2 linked regions of the Rhinolophus ferrumequinum genome follow. The protein of the gene in region 2 interacts with the protein of the main gene of each other region in a biochemical or structural test. Links are inferred from orthologs where the notes say so. Each region holds a gene or a part of one and is shown on either strand. Other genes may lie near its edges.

Region 1 (7,060 bases), on a different chromosome or scaffold from region 2:
AAAGACACGGCTAGAAAAAAAAAACAAATGACCTCACTATCTTGATTTTGCACATCTTCAGGCAACACTGCTCACTTGCATGACTGTCCTAACAGCACACAGCCTGGCGAGAAAGGCAGCAACACTGCTGGGTGCTGGTTCTCAGAAACAAAACAACCTGTAAAGACTGAGCCATGTTACCACACTGAAAATCACTAATGTCCAGTGTGGACTTAGTACAGTATTTTTCTGTTGACATTCCCATAAACTGGTCCAATTATTTGTAAGTGAATCATATTTGTTGACAGAGCCTAAAAATAAGCCAAAGGTTTATTTTATATTTGGCTTCATAGATATAATGCAACATCATTTACTATATATAGCTGGATACGAACAAAACTTTCTTCTGGAAAATCAGAGCACTCACAAAGTATATTTTTCAAAAATGACTTCTGTGTGACATCATCACTGGAATATCTTCATTTGCACAATTATTTTGGATTTACTTTTTAAACAGGAAGAATTATTGAGACAGACTTAGCTGATTTAAGTAATTCTCCCAACTAAGTACACATGATATTAGCTAAAGGATAAAAATAACAGGTCTCACTATCAAATAATGAAGTATAATCATTATTGTATTACCCTACTAGTGTATAATTGTATAAACCAGTCATTAGGAACCTAAAACTGAATTACGTTTATGCTAAATGCAACTCAAATCACATATGTAAACAAGTATCATTTGGTAAAAATAATCCTGATAAATTCTTATTAACCTCCTGCTATACAGAAGAAAATATGCCTCAAAATTTTTATAGAAAAAATTATAATTGGTATTCGCATTATTCTGTATTAAGAAACCAGTATTGTACTATTCCTACAAAACACTGTTTTCTCATTTTTCCCATTATTGCTGAAGAAAGTAATACAGGTAGTTTTTAATACTAGTCACTTCCTATACTTTCTAATTTTCTTAGTCTTTCTCTGACACTAACCAATATTGACTAGTGAACGCTAGATAAAGGTATCTTCTTCCAGTATAAATTTATTATTTCATAAAATATCTATTGCACACTCACTATGTTAGGCTTTGCATTAAACACTTTGGATGCAAAGTAAATTAAGACAGATTCCTTGCCTAAGAGCTCATGGTCTAGTAATAGCAAGACAATTGCATTAACGTTTACTACGCAGGGAAGGGCAATGGCACAGAAAATAACCCTAGAAGAGTTGTTTCAATCGAGCAGAGTCAGTTAACAGTTACATTCCTTTTCATTAAATTTCATTCAATTATGTCTACGTCCTTTATCAAGGAGGTGATGGCTTAACACTGACTGGTTTGTACTTCCTCTTCGTGGCAAAGCAGTGGTGATAGGGGTAGACAACATCAAAACATCTCAGCATCAAAACATCTCTGAGAATTACACTCACCATCCTGTTTCCTGACTTCACAAGATTTAGCATAACTGAATTTAAACATATCAGCCTAGGACCTAATCTAAGTTGGAAAATACCAGTAAGGTCCAGCTGTTATTAAGACATGTACGTGGTCAGACAAACATGAACTAGAAATGTACAGCCGGATACACAAAAATCAGATTTCTAGGTAGGATTTTTACCATATATTTATTTTTTGGTATGTAGGCATCAGAATAAAAATAAGATGTACCTAAAAGTACAAATGCTCACCATATTATATACTAAATTAGAAGGCAAACTGATTAGTTCTATCATAATATTTTTAACAACTCAAAACAATATGCCCCTCCCCAAAAAACTGTTTGAGAACATTATAAGACATTATTGATAATAAAACATTATTGATAATATTATATACCAAATTAAAGTTAACATTTAAAATGTCTCTATGCACCTAAAAAATAAAGACTTGCCACAAAGAAAAGCAGTGTGTACATTTAAATTTATAACTGGTTACTCGCTACCCATAGTGCCTCAGGAATCAGATAAAACAAGACTGAATTCCTTCAATAATATGTGTATTCTTATGAGTGTTTGATAGTAAATCAAAGCATATTCAGTATTTTCTTCCAATGCATTAGCCAGTCTTTAAAAGAAGCCAAATACCAAAAGACTAAAGAGGACAAGTGTCTATTTGTGATATTCCAGTTTTATAAATACAGCCATTTCAAAAAGAAGAGCCTCATTTGAAATGCACAGCTCCCACATACTTGATCTATACCATTCTTCGGACCATTGGTAGGAGGGTTAACTATTCCCTGGTCAGGGTGACCTTATAAGACTAGTGCAAGGCCCAGCCTGCCTCACTCAGGTGATATCAAGGCAGGCGGATCACCCAGCAGAGTTGTTTTTCACCCGCAGCCAGTTGACAAGAATAACTAAAGCCAAGGAGAATCAAGATTGCCCGGCCTTTGTCAAATGAGATTGGCGGGATGTTCTAACAGCTCCTTCTCTCATCAGAGTGGTTACATTCAGCAGAAGGCGGAGAGGTGCCATAGATTGTACCTCCTGCAATTGTGGGTCCTCAGCACAAACCTACTTATCACCTTGGGGATTATGGGATTGTCACGGAAACCTGGGTTTGCACTAACAGCAGTTTTCAGAAGTTTGATTTACACATTCCAACCTAGTAGAATGTCGCCTTAGAGTGCTGAGACTTCAAGACTCTTATGAATCTCCCTCCCCCACAGCCACTGCATCCCAAATTCCTGCTTATACATTCATTTCCTGGGCAATTTTCCTCTTATGGGAAAAACAATGGACTCTTTCAATCTTCTCTTATCAACAAAGGGCTCTAAGATGAAGAAACAATCCTTTCAATCGCATCCTTATCGACTTCTTTATAAATGATGAGTGGGCGTGGGGGGGCGCGGGGGGAGAACAGAGGAGGGAGTAGGTGACACACAACTCACCTCTTTGAGCTGCTCCAGCTCCTGTTTAAGGCTGTCGTACTCAGCCTCCAGCTCGTCATACTGTTGTTTGAGAGTCAGCTTCTCTTCCAGGACCACCAGCCCGTACTCGGCAGCCTGGATCTTCTCATGGGTGGTCTCTGTGAGCTCCTTCGTCAGCCTCTCTATCTCAGTCTTATAATGGTCCACAGTCTGCAATACCTCTTCTGCGGCCATAGCCCCGGTGGATGGAGGCAGGAGGCGGGTGACAGGGTGGGGGAGATGGATGCAAAGCAGGCAGGTAAGGGAGAAGGAAATGAGGAGGGAAGGGTAAAAATGGAAAAGAAAAAGTGTAGCTGGGTGAACGAGCAGAGCAATGCAGCTAGCTACCCTACCCGAGAAACTGACGTGAAATGCAACATGGAGAATGCAGGGGAAAGGATCAGGGGCAAGGCGGCAGCTGCTGCCGCATGTGTCCTCTGGGCCTGCCCCTGCGTGCGGTCAGCAGCCGTGCGGCATGGCCCGGGTTGCAGCGGCCGGAGGCGGCGTGGGGCTCGGGATTCTGCTTATTCAGAGGCGCCTGGCCGCCATGTCTCCCGGGCAGCGTCACTGCGGTCTCCCCCAGGCCCCGCGCGCTTCGCCTCGCGTCTCACTCGCTCGCTCCACCTGCTCCCTCTGGCTGTGCTGCAGCCGGTGCGGAATGATGCAGTCTCCGGCCCGCTCCCTCCCTTCACGCCTGGCCGGGACACCGAGCAGGGGGCGGGGAGGCGGATGGAGTCAGCGCGGGGGGAGGAAGGAAGAATCAGACGGTTACATCCCGAGGCACCTCCCGCCGGGTGCGCTGGGCGCCGCCGCTGTCCACTGCACCCGGGGGCGCGCGGGGAGGGAGCCTCCGCCCTGCTCCACCGTCAGTTCCTCGCAGGGCTTTGCCCGAGTGGACATCCAAGCCCGCGACAGTGCGTGGGCGACCCTGGTCTCTCGCTAAGCTGTGAGCCCAAGCTCTGCAAACTGTCTGGAATCGGCTCCTTTCCCAAAGAAAAGCAAATAGGAACTAACGCGCTCGGGGCTCGAGCATCCTTCTCGCTGCCTGAGCTCTCAGCGTTCTTCCCCGGCCTCTGGCACCCAAACGCTGTGCTTCCAAAGCCTGCCAGGCGCGCCCCAAGGCTCCTGTCTCCTTCTCTCCCCCTCCTTTCCCCTCCTTTCCCTAGCTTGGCCATGGTTCACCTCCCACTCTTAACAAATAACCTTATTGCCACGTCAGGGAAGCCTTCTTTAAAGATTGCTTGACCTCGCCCAAGCTTTCTAGAAAGAAGCCTCTAGGTGCCATTACGTATTTTATGGATTCTTCAGTAAAGGAAAACTGCATGAAATTTACAATATATGATGTCAACAACACCCTACAATAAACATGTTTTAAATAGTAAGAGCTAATAGTTCTTGAGACCATGTGCCAAGTATTCCTCTGAGTATGGTACACACATTCTCTCCCAACCTAACAACTCTTTGAGGTAGGAACCATTATCCCCAATTTACAGGTGATGAAAGATAGACACAGGGAACTTGAGTGATTTGCCCAAAGTCAGGCAACTCTGAAGTGGTAAAACCAAAATTCAATCATAATGCCAAAGCCCTGAACTGGATCATTATGTTGGCTTCACCTTCACTTATTACGAATACAAACCCAGCAGCTAAATATTAATTGCTCAAAAAATGACCGCTTTAATCAGTATGAACAGTGACAATGAAAAGTCACAAAAGGAGGTCAAGGCAAAGTCAGTGAAAGAGAATAAGAAGAGAGAAGAGAGGAGAATAGACAACAACTAAGAAGAAAGGAAGCAATAGGAGCAAAAAGAGCCATTTCTGTGTAACTAGGAAGCTGTAGGATCAATAGACCAATGGTCTGACCAGTTCCTTGCCTCTCCCCTGGGTGGCACTTATTACACAGCTTTTTCTCAGTGGCCAGGTGTTCAAACATACACACACACACACACACACACACACACACAGAGCTTCCTCAGTTAGAAAGCAGGACTCAGCTCTCCCATCATTGTGTGCATGGTAAAGAAAAAAAGACAGTTGCTGATGGTGTGATTTCCAGTGCCTCCCAAAACAGACAAGAAAGCTCCCTTCCAGATGCTGCCAATTACAACATAATATTCTGTGATAAATATAAATAGATAAATAAATAAATGGAGCAAACACCTGACACTTGCGACCACCATGAACTCTAACGTGGCAGAGAGCGGGGATGATAATGACCACATCATTTCACCTATGCATTGCACTGGGAAGCCACACATGTGTGCTCCTGTAGCACGCATCCTCTATCACAATGGTGAATGATCATGAACTGCTGAAGAGAAAAGAAAAGAAACCTGTAATTGCAGCTAGCTAAAACTGCCTTCCTCCCAGTCTGCCCCTGGCGGCATCTCTCCACAAAGTGTAAGCATAGCCTTTTTAAAGGGATCATAACACTTGGAGTAGATTGCCTGCGTCTCCCTTTCCTTTGGGTAGAATGAAGAAGGGAGTTTGCCTCTGTGACTTCCCTTTTTCTAAGTTCCATTGCGGCCCATTCCCTATGCTCTATGCTGTACCATTTTCTGATTGATACATTTTTGTTAATGTATTCAGTCTGACTTCATTCAGACATGTACACTATCCTAACAAGATTTTGCTTATTACAACTTTGATCCTTTCTATGTTGGTATTTAACTTGAAAAAATTAAACTTATTTACTTATACTGTACACCATACTCTTGTAGTACTGTATAGTTACATTTCTCTCTCTCATGTATATGTCATACATATCATGTATATGTAAGATATAGACATAGAAATGTCAGTGTAGGTGTAAATACAGATAAATAAGAATAGATTTGGATATAGATAGACATAGATATAGATGTATCAATGACAAGTATCTAGAAAATTATTTCTTAAACCATTCTTGGAAGTAGAGATTCCTCGTATTTCTTTATCCTAACAGCCTCCAATTGCTTATGGAACTTTCTCACTTACAAATATTTAGGAAAAATTGTATTTTGTGACTTAGTACCTCAAACCATCTTCTCACCAAACCAACTTTGTCAGCATAAATATTGCATTCTCTTGCTCTCAGTCATTCATTCAAGTATTAAACAGATGTTTAGTAAGTACCCATTATGTCCTCAGTACAACAGTAGGCACTGTGAAATCAATGACCAATGTGATGTCAATGGTCAATGATCCCTGATCTCATGGAGCTTTTATTATGGGAGGGACAAACTAACAAAACAGACCCAAAAAACCCAAGCAACAACAAAGAGATAAGTTCATACACTAATTCCAAGTTATAACATTGACAGGCGGGATCCAGCATAGTGGTTAAGAGCAGAAGCTAGTCCGCTTTGGTCAAATCCAACTCTGCCCCTTACTGGCTGTGTGTGCCTCCGTGGCCTCCTTCTGAAAGATGATGATATAACTACTAATGAGCTTGTTGTGAATAGAGGAATATTTGCCACATCGGAGCAGCATATATGTTCAGTTGTTACGTTTTTGAAGGAAAACAGGGTAAGATTTAAGCAGGTTAGAATAAGGAATTTAGGAGTTATACACCTGAAACTAATACAATGTTACATGTCAATTATATCTAAAGTTTTAAAAGTATATGGTCTTTCAAAATGCAAACATTCACTGAGTTAAAAATTTCCCACGGCAAATGAATTTCACACTACACAAGAACCAGAAGAGTCAGGATTCTTCTGTTCAGCCTCTCGGCATGCATTAGAAAAATCTGTAAATAGCCCAACTAACTAAATCAGGAGCTCCCCTCCTCCCCACACTGGTGTCCCAGGGCATGGTTACAGAGGATGCTCATATAAGACAATGAATGAGGGATCTAGCAAAGTCTTGTAGTGGGGCAATCAACAGTTTAATGCAAGTTCGGGAAGGAACCAGGCCCTCCCTACATCTCTACGAGAAGAAACAGGTGTAGAACCTGGGACACTGGTCACGGGCATGTTGCTATTCACATGCAAGTATATCTGAGAGGGAAGGAAAGTTCAGTCCCCAAACCTCTCCTGGGCACAGAAATCCCCTCGTCCTGGACACCCTCTCTTCTTGGGCAACTCCAGGGATCAGCGTCTAGTTGTGTGAGGGCCCCTGTGGAAATGCTGATTGCTACCCTTCTCTCCTACCTGTGTTCCCCACCTTGTCTTTATGCCACCCCACCA
Region 2 (7,290 bases):
TTGAATGTCAACTCTAATTGAAAAATTTAAAAGGGGGGTAAAGATCAATAATATTGTGATAGTGCAGTACAGTGTCAGATGGTTGCTGAACTTATGGTGATCACTTTTTTTGCACAGGGAATAAAATCAATAATGCGGTAATAACACTGGTTAGAGCTAGGTGGGTACTGTTGAATAACTATGATGTACACCTCAAACTAATATAATAGTGTATGTTAGCTGTATTTTAATAAAAAATCTTTAAAATAAATAAAAGAAAAAACCTAAGAAAATCTGAATAAACTACGGACTTCATTAATAATAATGTATCAATATTGGTTAATTGTAACAAATGTAGCACACTAATGTAAGATGTTAATAATAGGGAAAACTGGGTGGGGCTATATGGGAACCCTCTGCATGATCTCAATTATTCTATAAATCTAAAACTATTCTAAAACAACAAAGTCTATTTAAAAAAAAATCTAAGATGGCTTCAGGAATTGGGGAGGAAAAGAGTTATTAAAGACTTTTAAAAAGTAAGAAATGAAAAGCCATAACACTCTGCAATGTGAATTAGAACATAAATACTCAAGAAATTCAAAGGAAACCTGGAGATACTGGTTATAATCTCTATTCATACTAAAATCTTCTTATGAGAGATATTAATGGATTTTTCATGCAAACTAAACAGCTCTGTATCATAACAGAAGGCAGGCAATAACATCCCTAGAGTACACAATAAGCACTTTAGATCCTATTTATCAATAATGACCAATAAGCTATTATTTTATGTATGGCACTATCCTGAAATTACCATAAAACACCTGGACCAGGATCAACCTCATAGGTTAATCAAGTTACTTAAAGAAACAAGCTTATACCTACTTCAGGAAAATTCAAAAGCAAAGAGAAGACATCATTTTTCCTTGGTAAGGGGGAAGGGGAAAGATTATGTATGAAAGGAGAAAAATGATTTCTCAGGTCCAACTGGAAGCAATTTTGCAACTAGTATTAACCTACTTTAATGACATACAAAATAGTATAAATAGTTCAAGGTAGTAATAAAAGCTCTGAATTTATATCAGTTATCTTCTTTCCAACCAAAAGATAACAAATGTTTTCTATAGTCTAACCTAAGACACCAAGTGGGTAACAATGTTTGATGACTTGTGAGAAACTAATCTCTCAATGTGTGAATTTTAAAGATGGTCATGATAAGTGTGAGAAAAACAAAGAATGATAATCTCTAAATTGCCAAGTGTCAAGTTTGCATAATACAGCATAAAAATGAAATTACAAGAAGTAATTTTAGAGACAGCCATCACAAAACTAGGATCTTGTATGGAATACAAACTATAACAACAGCAGAAGCCTGACCAAGTAAATGAGAATTTCACTCATCAGATACTATGGAATATTAAACATAAAGGAGTCCTTTAGCAGAAGGGGTATATTACATATTTCGATCTAATTTTCAAAACTAGATGATGAATCTATTCTTCTTACTCTACTCCAATACTCCCAAAGGAAATCCACTAAACAAAGATATTTGTTATTCTCAAGCATTCTTTCACAGAAATCCTACATCTATAACTGGAAAATACTCAAGGATAAAAGGAATACTTAACATTTTCCCAGTAATTCCTGTATGCACCACCATGAGGAGAATCAGATACTGTTTCATGTTGAAAAAGGAGAGGTGAGATGTGAAAAATTCCAAGTAAAACGATCATGACATAGCATCTGGCAGAGACCAGAAAAGCATCAACACTGCCAAAAGAATTGTCAAGGATGAAAGTCAAGGGAAGAAAATGAGGTTTTCCAAAAAGCCACAGCCTAACCCAAGGGGTAAAAATTGCCACTGCCATCGCCAACCCTCTCACCCCTCAACCACTCCATCCTCAAGTCGCCTCCAATTCAGATATATGTCTTCTATAACCCAGACTAATTCCCCATCCAAGTGAAAACCATCCAGGAATTTTCTACGACACCCCCCCCCTTCCATGAGATCCGCACTTCTCAGGGCCAAGCCTCTGGGGAAAACAACGCCCAGATCCTACCCTCCATGCCCAAGGTTGAAGAGGGCCGGTTCCCAGGAGTGGGGCTTCCCGGGGTGGGCCTCACAGAGCTGACGAACTGGAATAAGAGCAAGGAATAAGGGTGGGGCTCAAGAAAGGGGGCTGGGGTGGGTGAGACCCGAGGAAGAAAGGGATGGACAGGAGGCTGGGCGGGGTGGGAAATAGGGAGGCAGATCGACGGAAGAGGGTCGGGCTGCGGGGAAAGGAGACGCCGGAGTCGGGCACGAAAGGGTCAAAATCCGACCGACGGATCAAGGCGAAAAGGAACCGGTGGCTAAGAGGGGTCGGCGAACCCCGGGAAGGGCTGGGGGTGGAACGAAGCGCTAAGGCGAGGCCGGCAGGGAGCCTCCACGGACTGAAGGGCCGCACTGGGGGCGGTGCGGGGAAGCTGCGGCCAGCCGCCAGGAGTGGGGTAGCCACGCACTCACCGCTCTGCTCCCCCAGGAACACCAGCTTGAATTTCCTCAGCGGATTCCCGAAGTCTCCGCCCGCGGACATGATGGAACCGGAGGAGCTGCCGCCGCTTCAGCCCAGAGACCTACCGGACCGACGCTACTCCAATCGGTTGATGAAAAGGGTGAAAGGAAGGGCGGGCGCCGAGCTCTCTCGGCCCCAGCAGGGCCGACGGCGGAGCAAGGCTAGGGGGCAGGACTGCTCTCCACAGATAGGCAGCCGTCGCCACCGCCTCCCCGCGGAGTCGCCTGGCACCGACCGAGGCCCGCGGCTGGGAAGGGAAGGAGATTGGTGTCAGAAGCAGTCAGGGGTGTGCTCAGGGTTCCCAAGGCTAGTGCTGTTCTGTTCTCAGCACCAGGCACGGAGAGTGAGGTGAGAGGCAGAGGGTGGCGGGGCCGGAGCCGCAGACGTCTGGAACCTCTGACACGCAGCGCCTCAGCTCCCACAGCTGCCGCCGCCGCAGGCCAACCTGCTGAGTGCGCGAGCCTCTGGCGCGGCGCTGGGCGAGCCTGGGCGCGAGCCTGCCGCCCCGCCGCCCGCCGGCGTGCGTGCGTGGGAGCGTGCGCGTGCGCGCCACAGCCAGCACTTTCCTGGTTTAGCCTGCTCTCCCGGCTCCTCCCGCGCCGCGGAGACGTCGGCAGGTTTGGTTTCGACTCGCGTCAGGGGAAGCAAGGAGGCGGGACGGAACTTGGGGAAGTGAGGAGGTGGAATAAGGAGGGGGTGGAATACGTTACGTATGGGATGAGCCAATCGCGAGAGACCAAAGGCGGGCAGGGACCGGAGTGAGGTGGCGGCGCGAGAGCGCGCGCGGCTGCCGCGCGGTGGAAAGCGTTGTACGGTGGCGGCCATGCGGAGTGTGGCGCGTCGCAGCCTGCGGGGAGGGGAAGAGGGGAGGGACGGAGGCGGGGCCGGAAGGTGATACATTGAACCCAGCATTGTACAGGTGGGGTTAGAGAGTCGTTAGACGTGTACTAGGCTCCTTTATCCTGAGCCCTCAGCCCTGTCTCACATTCCTCAGATCCGCCCTTCACCCGTGCACCTACCCACCTTCATCTTCTTAATCTTCTCACGGTATCTTACTAGGTACATGCTCTGCTGTTGCTCCCAGGAGTTTCATAACTACAGTAAGAAGCAGGGCCTCCATATTTTTGCAGATGAGGAAACAGGCTCAAAGGAAGGAAATAACTTAGAAAACCCACAAAAACATAAAGTGGAAGCCAGGTTTTGGTTTTTCCCCCCATTGAACCTTTGCAATCTCCTTATTGATAAGCCCATCACTTCCCTGGCTTGACCTGACTTGGTCTTCTGTGCCAGCCTTTGTTCCTCAGATAGTGATAACTCTAGGTGCCACCTTCTGTGCTAGAAAAGGATTTAGACGTAAAACAAACCCGTCATTTCACCGATGGTGAAACTAAAGCCCACGTAGGAAAACAGCTTTGCAAAAAGGTCACACAACAAATTAGAGGTAGAGCCTGTTCTTGAGACCAAATGTGAGGAAGGGGATATTTTAAAGATCATCCGTTCCTCCTAAAATAGGGCTTCTGAATCTACCGTTGGTGGACCTCTCTTAAATGAAATATCTGAAACGTGCATTTTCCTGTGGAGAGAATCATAGCATTCAGCAGATTTTCAACATAGCTCATGCCCCAAAAAATGCAGGCTAGTGTCACAGTCAAGAGAAGCCTAAGGAGATATGACAACTAAGTATAATGTGGATATAATTAACATGACAACTGAACATAAGTTTAAACTGAATGAGATTCTGGAACAGAAAAAAACATTAGGCAAAAACGAAGAAAATCTGAATAAAGATGGACGTTGGTTAATTATGATGTATCAATATTGGTTCTTTAATTGTAAGAAATACACTAATGTAAGATATTACATGAGAGGGAACAGTGGGGGAGAGGTATATGGGGACTTTCTGTACTGTCTGCTCAATTTTTCTGTAAATACAAAGTTTTAAAAAACACCTATTAATAAAAGATGAATAAATAAAAGGTTAAGAATCACTGAATTAGAGAAATTGGCATCTACACTTCACCGTACTTCAGCCATACTTGACTAGGCTATTGGATAGCATCCAAAAAAGTAATCTCTGCGCTTGAAGAGAACACTTTTAAAAACTGGTATCAAAAATACTTCCCAAGTTAATAATGAAACAATAAGTCCTTACATTTGTATATAGTATCTTACTAGTCACAAAACACATTTACATACATTTTCTCATTATTTGGAGGTTATTATTTACTTAGCTATAGAAATGGCAGTATCAAACAAGTAAGTGTCTTCTCAAACTAGGCATGAATTGCTGAATTAGAATAAATTAAGGGGAGGAACAGAGATTCGTAAAATATCCATTCTAGCCTATCAAGACAACAGTTATATCCCCAAGCCTCCGTCTCCATCAAAATTTACTAACTTCTGATTCCTCTCAGCTAAGTGGCAGAAAGATTTTGGAACATGCATCTAAAATGAAATGGTAAAAACCTGAGTTGTAATATGGACATTTGATTTTTTTTTAAAAAAAATTCATTTTAAAAATAGCTTGTCAGGTCTTGGGAGGCTTTTGCTACCAGTAACTCAGAACCCTGGCACACACAGAGAACACCCAATACCAAGAGATTATTTAAAAAGAAAACCTCTTTCAAACAAGAGTTGCTATTTTTTCTTTCTGATGGGTACCAGATTTTCATTATGTTTCCTGAAATAGCCTTTAAAGTAACATCTGAGGATTGGAACTATAATTACTTTGTACCTCCTCGGGAACTTTATGAATCAATTTCTCCATGCTGCTCTGGTCCCTATGGTCACCTAGAAAGGTGATGTTATTTCTATTATTTTGAAGAGAGGTGTGGTGTAATCTACCTCTTACCTCAGATGTTCGAATATTTTAACCTAGCATTTTGCACTGACACATATACAGCCTCATTCTTCTCTGAAGCTGCGTTCATATTTATCTGTGTAAATAATGTTTTGCCTTCAGAGCAAAACATATGGTCTAAAAGTTGCATATTAAGTGCTACACGTTCATCAAATGAAGAAATTACTTGGGAGAAGGAAATTAAAGAGGCTTTTTCCAAGGGCACTTTCGCCAACACTTTCACCTCCATAATTTTCTACACACTATTCTCTTTACCTTGAACACTTTTCCCTTCCTTCTTCCCTCCCCCCAATTCCTACTCATCCTTCAGATATCATCTCTAACAAGTCTTCAAGAAGCTTTCTCTGTCTGCTCCCACCTCCATTAACAGTATGAAGTACCCCTGCCTGTCCTCCCATTGTACCCTAGTCTTCCCCATCACTTCATTGTTATTAAGTGTCAGTCTTCCCCACCTGACTAAGCTCTGTGAGGTCCTGTATTTTCAACACTTGTAGAGTGCTTGCTACATAGTAAGCATGCAACAGATATTTGCTGAATAAATGAGAGAGATTATTTTAGCTTTCTTCAAAGGTTCAATGGAATTCGGGCACGTGGAGATGGAACGGCAAGAGTGTTTTGGAGAAAGAGAGCATCACTCAAAATCAGAGAGGACAACTTTTGACAACTCCAAATCGAAAGTACCTAGAGCAGTCTTCTTTGATAAATTTAAAAGGGATCGTTCATTTGAAGCCCATGGATGTGTCCAGGAAGCTACCACACAGAAATTGTAATATAACTGCAGCTTGTCTTTCTGCCTCTAGAGACACAAAGCTTCTTGAAGGAGGACTGAGATTTCATTGTATTCCTGTGGCAGACACTACTGTTTGTCCAACAATACACACACACTTCCACATTATATATTGGTAATGACAGATACTTTTCCAGGTTCCCTTCAGCTAAGTTATAGGCACGTAATTTGATCTGAGCCAGTGGCAGATGAAGAAATATCCCAGAGACTTAGAAGATAAATTATCTTCCCTGATGAAAAGAGATAGATGAGGAAAAAGTGCCATTTTTCAGCCATTGGATGTGGTTATATAAGGACAAGATATCTAGAACTAAGACATCTTGTGAACATTAATATATAATCCTGAAGACAAAAGCCAACCCATTGATGATGCTAAGCGGAAAACTTAAAGTCATCATTGAGCCGCTGTACCTCCCCTGGAACTGGCCTTCCTCTGGCTTCTTTTTAGCAAAAAAATAAATGTCTTTATATTTAGTAATGTTTTCACATATGTCTTTGTTATTGTTACTTGCAGCTGAAAGCATCTGATGTTCTCATCTTTTGATCCCTTTAAACACCTCGCACAGTTCCTTGAACATTAGGCACTCAATACTATGTGTGTGTATGGGTGTGTGTGTGTGTGTATTATATATATTAATATATGTTACACATATAACAATGTATATGATATACATAATACAGTAATAGCTACCAAACTGGAACTGCTTTTTTCTATTTACTGCTCCCTAAAAAGGATTTATTATTCTTGGAGAGGCAGGAAATCAATAGAAGGAGAAAAACTGTCCAGGGATTGAAAAGGATTGAAATCATATTGCTCATATTTGAAACAAATAATATCTCTGGCAGGAATTCAAATTGTATCAAATGTGAAGCCCTTCTACCCACTCTGCAGGTTATTATAATCATTGATACTAAAAATAATAGTGAGTCAATATACAAAGCATAAAAATAACAGATGCTCAATAATTCCAGGTGACCAATTAAAGGAGCACAACTAACACAAGGTATAAGGTTTAAACAAGTTTTAAGCAAGGTTTAAGCACGTCTCATTTTAAAAGGACTATAAGGGAAAAAAAGAGAGGGGAGGCCTCATGGCAAAACCTGTT

What was found.
Region 1: the proteins of RAB6A (region 2) and BICD1 form a complex in vitro, tested with the Homo sapiens proteins (3 studies listed by BioGRID). The link is inferred for Rhinolophus ferrumequinum from reciprocal best matches to the Homo sapiens genes RAB6A and BICD1.

What each region holds. Positions count from the first base shown.
Region 1 is NC_046293.1:41,120,154-41,127,213, reverse strand, and holds the start of BICD1 (protein bicaudal D homolog 1), read right to left. Parts: upstream 3,087-7,060; coding exon 2,874-3,086; intron 1-2,873. UniProt on the Homo sapiens protein: Regulates coat complex coatomer protein I (COPI)-independent Golgi-endoplasmic reticulum transport by recruiting the dynein-dynactin motor complex.
Region 2 is NC_046294.1:48,923,418-48,930,707, forward strand, and holds the start of RAB6A (ras-related protein Rab-6A), read right to left. Parts: upstream 3,072-7,290; 5' UTR 2,559-3,071; coding exon 2,489-2,558; intron 1-2,488. UniProt on the Homo sapiens protein: The small GTPases Rab are key regulators of intracellular membrane trafficking, from the formation of transport vesicles to their fusion with membranes.